Linked DNA regions of Oryzias latipes. Each later gene encodes a partner of the first gene's protein in a complex. Links are inferred from orthologs where the notes say so. Each region holds a gene or a part of one and is shown on either strand. Other genes may lie near its edges.

What was found.
Region 2: nhp2 (region 1) and gar1 share a complex: the UniProt entries of both Homo sapiens proteins name them as parts of the H/ACA small nucleolar ribonucleoprotein (H/ACA snoRNP) complex. The link is inferred for Oryzias latipes from reciprocal best matches to the Homo sapiens genes NHP2 and GAR1.

The regions. Positions count from the first base shown.
Region 1 is NC_019872.2:3,233,300-3,237,793, reverse strand, and holds the start of nhp2 (H/ACA ribonucleoprotein complex subunit 2), read left to right. Parts: upstream 1-1,458; 5' UTR 1,459-1,562; coding exon 1,563-1,716; intron 1,717-1,811; coding exon 1,812-1,881; intron 1,882-3,055; coding exon 3,056-3,161; intron 3,162-4,494. UniProt on the Homo sapiens protein: Required for ribosome biogenesis and telomere maintenance. Part of the H/ACA small nucleolar ribonucleoprotein (H/ACA snoRNP) complex, which catalyzes pseudouridylation of rRNA.
Region 2 is NC_019868.2:3,863,708-3,868,079, reverse strand, and holds the start of gar1 (H/ACA ribonucleoprotein complex subunit 1), read left to right. Parts: upstream 1-1,526; 5' UTR 1,527-1,614; intron 1,615-1,733; exon of another isoform or gene 1,734-1,750; intron 1,751-4,372. UniProt on the Homo sapiens protein: Required for ribosome biogenesis and telomere maintenance. Part of the H/ACA small nucleolar ribonucleoprotein (H/ACA snoRNP) complex, which catalyzes pseudouridylation of rRNA.

The DNA.
Region 1 (4,494 bases):
CAAAGCCGTCTCTGGAGTGAAACATCCATCTTGCATGCCGTTAAACCAGAGCAGTAGTGACCCATGATCAGAATGAACCGTTTACATGCACCACGATCGGATCAACAATCGGCATAACCCACCTATCTTGATCAGAAAGAAATTTTGATCCAAACGAGTCTGATCGGGGCAGAGTATTCCGAACGGCGTGTTTACATGACGCATTTTTCTTCTGATCAGGTGTTCATTCCGATTACTTTTGTCCATGTAAACGCAGCCAATGACCTTAAAGCCCCGCCCCCAAGTAAAATTAGGCACTCTCAGTGAAAACTGAAAGCTAAGGAGGAAAGAAACAGAGGAAACAAACGTTGAAAATGCAAAACAAATAAATATTATTTTTCATTTGGTATCAGTTTAAGGTTTGAAGTTCTTGTTTAAACTTAGGGGTCAAGTTTTTTTAATTTTCATTATTTCTTTTGGCGTTTTCAATGTGTACTTTTGAGTTATTTTTTTTTTTACCTGATCCTAATTTCAATTCAATTCAATTTTATTTGTATAGCCCAAATTCACAACAACAGTCGTCTTGATGGGTTTCATATAATTTGACCCCATAGCGTGTGGCCCATCAATTTCAGTTTGTTTGACAATTGACTGTTAAATTTACAACTGGATAAATGGCGTGTGATATCATCCATAGAAAATGCCTTGCTTCTGGTTGCAACCAACTGAAGTCAATTCAGTCCCCATTTTTCTGCGATATGTCCTTCACCATGTGAGAAGCAGATGACCTCAGTAAGCCGTGATTGGCTTGTCTACATTTCTGTTGCAACCACTCTCTCCAATCAGGAGTGAGCCTGTTAGAAGGCCACACCCCTTTCCACTGAGAGCGGATAGGGAGGGTCTGTCAATCAAACGTTTCAAACTTCTGACGCTACTTTTATTAAGGCATCTGATTTGTCAGTTTATAACTTAGATAACTTTCACTACAGGAAAAATACCATGAGAAAAATCAGGATTAGCAATAAGATTTTAATAAAAGTTATCAGATCCAGAATGGTTATTCTGACCAATAGAATGACAGAGTAACAGCTGTTTATTTCTTAATAGAAGTCTATGGGGTTTTGCCTTCTTAGGACCAGCAGGTACTTCCTTTTTTGGTACACGGAGGGGGTGGGGGGGTGTTTTTCAGTCTAGTTCTTATTTTACTCTCAATGGTAACGACAAGCTTTTTTACACTGTAAGTTTGTCATCTACTCCTGATTCACAGCAATTTGAATAAAGAAATAACAGAAGAAACACACAAAAACACACATTTAATCTTAATTTTCTTTTTATATTTTCACTATCATGAGAAAAACACCACAAGAACTTAAACACAATTTCATTTTTGAAAGAAAGAAGCAAATTAAAGTCATTTGGAATGTAAACTTTGAAACGTCACGCTGCATTTCACCGCCCGGCCGCTAGCGGCGCTGTGATAAGCCGTAGTCTGAAAAAAGAAGCAGAGGAAGCTGAGCACGTGAGGTGTCCTCGTGTTAAGTTGTTGTTAGCAGACGTTCGGCTCAGAAAATCATCGATTGGAAATGACGAAGGTGAAGAAGGAGAAATTGGATGCGGAGGAGCCCGCCGGCGTCCCGGAGCGCTCCTATCACGAACTGATCGCGAACCTGAACCCGATCGCGCAGCCGCTGGCTTCCAGGAAGCTCAGCAAGAAGCTCTACAAGTGCGTGAAGAAAGGTACGAGTGCGGGACGTTTCCAGGTTGTGGATCAGTCCGGGTCCGACTGGGACCGGGTTGGACCAGGACAGTATTGAGCATTTTTGTGGTTTCAGCTGCCAGAGTGAAGAACATCCGCAGAGGAGTGAAGGAGGTGCAGAAGTTCATCAACAAGGGAGAGAAAGGGTGAGTTAGAACGAGCCGGAGCTGCTCAGGAGGAGGAGAAGCATGTTGGTGGATGAAGCTTCTCATAGGATCCTTTGTTTTTCTCTAGAATCCAGATAATTTCCGTTTGTCTCTGTGCTGCTCTTCATTTCTCATTTTATTGTCTGGAGCTACAGTTCTTTAGAACTTTAATGATGAGAAACTTTGCAAAACCTTTCAACCAAGTTCTTTTCTGTTTTAGTTGGGGTTTAGTCAAAGCGACTCAGTGATGTTGGCCAGTTCACAAATATGACTGCGCATGCGCGGGGTCAAAGGTCAAGGCCTCATTGGACGACAAACTTGGTGATGGTCTCTAACCCTAGCCATGATGAAACATATTCAAAGTTAAAATAACAGGACCATCTGCCCGGTCAGTTAACGAACTAAAGGCGCCCGACGATGCACCAGATGTGCTGCGACACAGGTGTGCTGCGACACAGGTGTGCTGCGACACAGGTGTGCTGCGACACAGGTGTGCTGCGACACAGGTGTGCTGCAGAGGCCTCATCCCCACAGCAGACGATGATAAAAAGGACGTATGCATGCGAAGCATTGGACATGATACAACTTGAGGACTGGATAACAGTTGTCTGGTTCAACATTAGGCCCACATGATGCAGTACTCAAACATTCCAGATCTATAATACTAGTAGAAGGCTTAAATATTCCATATGGACTATCTAAAGGCGTACGACATTCTTCTGTTTCTTTGACAGATCAGAATGCCACTTCTCTGCATTGACAGAAAACAATAACCCGATCCTCTTGTGATTGAAAAGGCTCTTGGGTTGGTGAGGAAGCAACTAAAACATGGCTGACAGAAATGTCAATATTGCTCACTCATGTCACTGAACGGTCTGTTCTTACTAGTATTTGCTGCTTTGGTTTTTTTGTTGCTATTTTTTCATTAGCTGACCCACCAACGGCAAACTGCATCTGCCGATGGACCTGTACTTTGTCTTTGGTTATGTATCGTAATGGCTGCGTTTTGGCTTAGCGGTCACCTTGTCTGCTGTCCATTGAGGTCTCGACCTTTGACCCCGCACATGCGCAGTCACCCGTGTGACTCAGTCTTTTGTGTTTAGTCTGAGGGGGCGTGACCAGAAGTGACTTCATTGCTTGCAAGCTGGTTTTCTGATTGGTCGTTGCTCTACAGGATCGTGGTTTTAGCTGGCGACACTCTGCCCATCGAGGTGTACTGCCACCTACCGGTCATGTGTGAGGACAGGAGCCTGCCGTACGCCTACATCCCCTCCAAAGTGGTGAGTCAGCAGCGCACCTATGCAGGTGTTCCTCTCTTTGAGGACTTCAAAAATAGCAGTAATGAAAGTGGATTTGCAGAGGCGATCCATGAAGGGATCTGCTGAAAGGTGAACCACCACCGACAGCAGTAAAGTTATAACTAAACCTCTGGTACGTTGTGTAAAAGTGAGGAAATATTTCAAATTTTATTTGCTTTCTTCAGAGAAACACATTTTTTCAAACGAGACCAGAACATTAAAGGTGGACATACATTCTGTGAAAGAAAGTTCTGGAAGTAAATACTGAGATGATCTCCACTCACAACCAAAAATCAAATAAATATAAATAGCTTCCAATATATTTATACACTAAACTAGAAATTCCTTACATCCAGTGAAGTATATTTGGGTTACAGTAGCAGCATTCTGGTATGGAGATGTCTTTGGTGGGTGGAGTTCTCAAAAACAAAGCGCTTGAATGTAAAAAGCACAATTTTACAGAATATGGCCTAAACTGTTTAAAATGGATATAAAGTGCCTCTATTGCAAGTTACAGGTACTTAACATTCTCAGCTGTTTCTAACTTTGCTGCTGCTGGGGTGTGTCAGAATTCCTTCACTACTCACTGCATAATGCGTCCACCTTTTTGTAGAGCTGTCTGAATCTACAATTACAAAATCCAGTGCCCTAGAAATTTACCAGAAGTCTCTGTGAAATACCAGTGTGCATCAAGGCTCACTATGTCGGTGAATATAGACCACAATGCATAGTATCAGAACAATTTTTGCCAAAAGAAAATGTATTTAAATGTATTTTTTTAATTAAACCATCAATGTTTTTATCTTCAGAACTCAGTGGACTCATAAATAATGGTGACAAAACGCTCATATGAATTAGATTTTAACTTTGTGAAATCAATTATGTCATATTCGCCATTTAAAATATTAAGCACTGAGCATTGTGTCTGAATTTTCTTTAAAATCCAGGGCACTAAATAGTTTTAGTAGTTAGGGGTTAGGGTGGGAGTTTGTCATCTTCCACTGACACAAGAGAAGGTGCTGTTCCCTCGACTCTCCTGCAGGAGGCAGTACAGTTCACCTCATAAAGGTGTGATGTCACCATCAGGTCTTTAGTTTTAGCTAACCTCAGTTATAATGAGAACTATTTCCAGAGAGTCCACAAAACTAGCAAATATGTTGTAAATAACCTGCAGTTAATCTACTTCTCCAATAGATTTTTGTTAACAAATAACTTTTTTTCTGAACTGGATCAGGATGTTTAGGGGCAAAAGCTGCGTGTTTATTCTGGGATGTCTCGCAACATTTGAGACTTTGTTGTTTTCTTATTCCTCATA
Region 2 (4,372 bases), on another chromosome or scaffold:
GAGTTTTAACTGATAGTTGAAGCCAAACATAAGGCCTAAAAGGACGCCTCCCCTGGACCAGGACTTCATGGGTCTTTGGTGGGGGAACCTCCATCTCCTCCACAGTGAGGGATCTCCTGGGCTTCCAGGCAACAGCTGCCTTGCACCTCTGAAAGCACACCTGCTTCAGCTGTTTGTGCATGTGACTATCAACGACTGGTTACAAACACAATCACACACTCTTTCCTCTCTCTCTCTCACACACACACTCTCGGAAAACAAAAGCATTCCTCCCTGACCAGCTGTTGCCATAGTTACCCGCGCAGCAGAATTTTAAAAAGCCAACAAACACTTAAACATCTCCACTATTGGAGCAGCGTCTGTCTGGCGAAACTTTTGATGAAGTCAGAGTGGTCTGTCTCTTTAAGGACGGGGCAGGTCGGCTTATGACACAAAGAAGACAAGGGTTGCCAGATCGGTCATGTTTCCGCTTCTTTGGAACTCTTTGGGCTGGACACATCTGCAGTTGGCAAAATGAACAAATTCAGGCTGTTTTTCTCAAAACTGATGTTTTGTTTTAAATTTAAAAAAATGTTTTTCTAGAAATTATGCTTAAAGAGTTTTGTTGGTTAACCAGATGTCACTAGAAAGAGCTGTAGTAAATTACTTTAGAATTACTTTAAAATATTATTCACACATAAAAAAGTATTCATCCAAATAACTATCAATATTACAGAAACAATTAACACCTAAAACAAAAAAAAATTGAACATATTGAACTGGAGGTGTAAAATTATGGAATAAGGTAAAAAAAAATAACCACAAATTATTGTGCTGATTTACATTTACAGTCAACTAAAGGTCAAAAGGAACATGGGGTTGATTTCAGTCTTTAGCTATTGTGAGGCTTATTGTGAAAAAAATTACTGATATACAAGTTTGAAATCTTTGTTTTCACACATAGCCCACACAATATAACCAATATTATTCTACTTTAAAGATTAAACTGAGTTTAGTCCTACTTCACAAATGAAAAGAAGCAGTGACAGACCTTAAAGCAGTCAAACACCTGAAAATGACATGCTGAAGTCTGATCCAGATGCAAGTTGGATTTCTGGTCATGGTTGTGCAGTCAGAGGAAAATCGTAGTGTAACTCAGCAGCAGAGGTTTCCTATTGCATTTGCTAAGTTTCTTGTTAATATAATTTTTTAAGTGTTTTTAAATAACAAATGATGCAAATACCACAAAAAAAGTTATGAATACAGCTCAAGTTACTAGGAACCGCACGAACAATTGTGTAGAAAATACACACAGAAAATGCAAAAGATTAAAAAGAGACTGATAAAAACAACAAATCACTCAAAAGGAGACGACAACTAATAGTTTATTGATTTATATATTTTTATAAAATAAATCTATCTTGATTTTGTAAATTACCATTAAAAAGTCTTAGTTTAGCTTTTTTATGTGGGGGGAAGTTTAGTCCGGGTTGTGTTTGCCTTTACTGATTTTACTGCGTAGTTTTGTCGGGAAATGATCTGATCTGGCAACCTCCTGTGCGACATCAGAGACAACCTTTACGGCAGCCTGCGCTTGCGCGTGTTGTCACGTGGACATTTCCTCTGCGATAACAGGTAAGTTCTTGCCTTTACATCTTATTTTCTTGGGTAATAGTTTTCCACGTGTCATATTATTTATCAGCAGATGAGCGGGGTGTGTAAAGAACCCACTGGAAAGCGGTGGTTTCGCGCCTAAACGGTCGTGTTTACGGTGAGCTGCTCCGGGAAGCACGTGCTCTCGCTGATCCTTTCACCGAAGCCGGTTTTTTTAGCGCGTGAGGCACCGGGGGAGCCTCAGGGCGCGTTAAAGTTCCGGACACGGTTCCACGCGTGTTTCTGGTTACTGCAACCTGTCGTGTCGCTGTGTTTGCCAGCTAAACACTCGCACTATTTGCACAGCGGACACGGGACGGGACGGTCGCACGCGGCTGAAGACTGGATTCGTTGACGGGATCACTCCGCGGTTGTAAAGCGGCGGGCGGCTATCTGTGTGCTCTATTTTGTAAGACTGTAAGGAGTAAAACATTTGTTTGCATTCTTACTGTAACGACTCGGTTTCCGCCCACTGCCATAGCAATCAGCGGGCGAGGTGCATCATGGGAGCTCATGGTTTTGGTGCGTTTGTCAGTTCAGCTTTTGGTGTTTTCTTTGTTCATTGTGTTGTTGTTTTTTTCTTTAAAAAAGTATCAAATATACGCCATGTGGTCATTGGCATATACACAGAGTCCCGATATTCAATTCAACTGAGTGAGCATGCGCGTTGAGCCTCGTTTATTAAACTAAAAACAGAATTAAACTTTCTGAAATGTTATTGATCTTCTAGAAGGGAAATTATCTTTATCATAGTTTTGTTTAAAAAAAACAGATTATAATGGCGATGTCCTGCCGTATTTTTTGAGAATGAAGTGATATTTATGCCAACACATTGCAAACAAAACTTTTTAAGTAGCAAGTGAAGGTATTAAATAGTTGCTTAAATAGTTCTTAAATTTTTTTCTGCTTTCAAAAAAAAATTTTGCGTTTTAACACGTCTCATTTCGCTGTTTCCCTATCTTTGATTTAACGTTCATAAGTCTCAGTTTAGCGTGACATATGTGCCAACAAACAGCCTGCTGATTGGTCCAGATTCTAACCAGCCGCACAACTTTGTCTTCATAAATGCGTTTCTTTTTGACACATTCCTTACCCCATAGTATCAGTCTATGGGTGGATTCAGACTCCACACAGTTGGTTCTCTTAAAGTGAACCAGAAGTTCGTTTCCCCCGACAATCTGGAACAAATTTTCAGTCTGAATAAACCCAAGTGGGCCCTGGTGCGGGACCAGGAACCGCTTGGTTCCATCTGTGGAGGTGGTCTCTCAGTTCGTTTCCAATCGGACTGAGCTTTGGTGTACTCTAAGGTTCTTCAGTCTGAATACAGTCTGTTCCCAGAGTGGAACAACGGAACCAAAAATGGCCACCGTAGCCGCTCCGTATGGGATGTAAACGGAAAAGGAAGTAACCATGACGATGAGACACAGCAACTCATTGAAATGTGATTGGATAAATGCAGGCTCATTAAAACAACTTTTAATGTGACGCACGTTGCTTCTCACTGTTTTCCCGACCATCTGCATGTCATAAAGTCTTATCAGTGACTCTTGCCGTTAGCCGCCCTACAGCCAGCCTCCACTGGACCAATGGGATTGCAAAGTGCACTAGTCTTTGACTGCCCTCGTAATTCCTGGCCAATGACTGAAGAGATCTTTAGTCACACGTTTTTTTTTTTACAAGCTTTGGTTGGTTGGAAACAGAAATGTCCGGTTGAAGGCAGTCTGACTACAGACCCAATGCAACGCTCAGGACTCAATCTGGACCAAACTAAGCAGACTCAGTCCAGACCAACTGACACCCTTCATATTTTTCAACCCAGTTCCTTACAATTCCCTCTGTTTAGACAGTTGACTGTATATGAGAACTGGACTGAGTGACTCCTCTCCCGTAGAGTTCCAAACAGGAAGTTCCCGCTGTCTCCAAGAAGCCAAATTTCCATAGACTTCTACAGAGAAATGAGCAGCTGTAACTCACTTAGGGGTAGGGTTGTGCCGATGGACGATATCATCGTCCATCGTGATGGGTGACTGACATCCCGATGGAGAGACCACCATCGTGATGCCACGCCCCCGCCACGTTGCGCGTCGACACCATAAGCCGCGGTTACATGTACAAAATATCTTGATGGGATCAATGGTCGGATTAGAATCCAACCGTGTAGATGGGCCCAGAAAAATGTTTTCAGAATATAAAAACGTTCACTAAGGTCACACTTTCGGTCGGAATAAATCATTCGCACATGCGCAGTTTGAAAACCGGAAGGGGATACAACTTCCGCCGAGCGGCTTTTTTTTCCAAACTTTATTGAATGTAACAATTCAATACAAAACAATGTTAAACAGCGCCGAGCGGCTTTATACATTGACATGTCAGCTCAGTAATTTACGAGCCAATCTTCTAAACGTGCCTTTAATAATGTTACGGTTATTATGAAACACCTGTTCGCTCATCATTTGAATTTTAATCCGTGTGGTCAGTGCTTTTTCTGAACGAAGCCAGGATTAGCAGTATGCTAACACGGGCTAACAACATTAGCTTTGGGTGGTGCTGCTTGCTGGCTGCACGTAAACATGTAAGAATAACATCAGCCTTTATTTAGTCGGGACACGACTGGAAACACAAATCCGCGTGATTGTTTGAATGTTTTCTAAGGACTGAGCGACATTTCTGCTTTGAAGCTCAAACCGCTGTGTGTGCTGACGATCCGAGCTGTGCTCAGTCAGACATAGGGTTGGGCGAT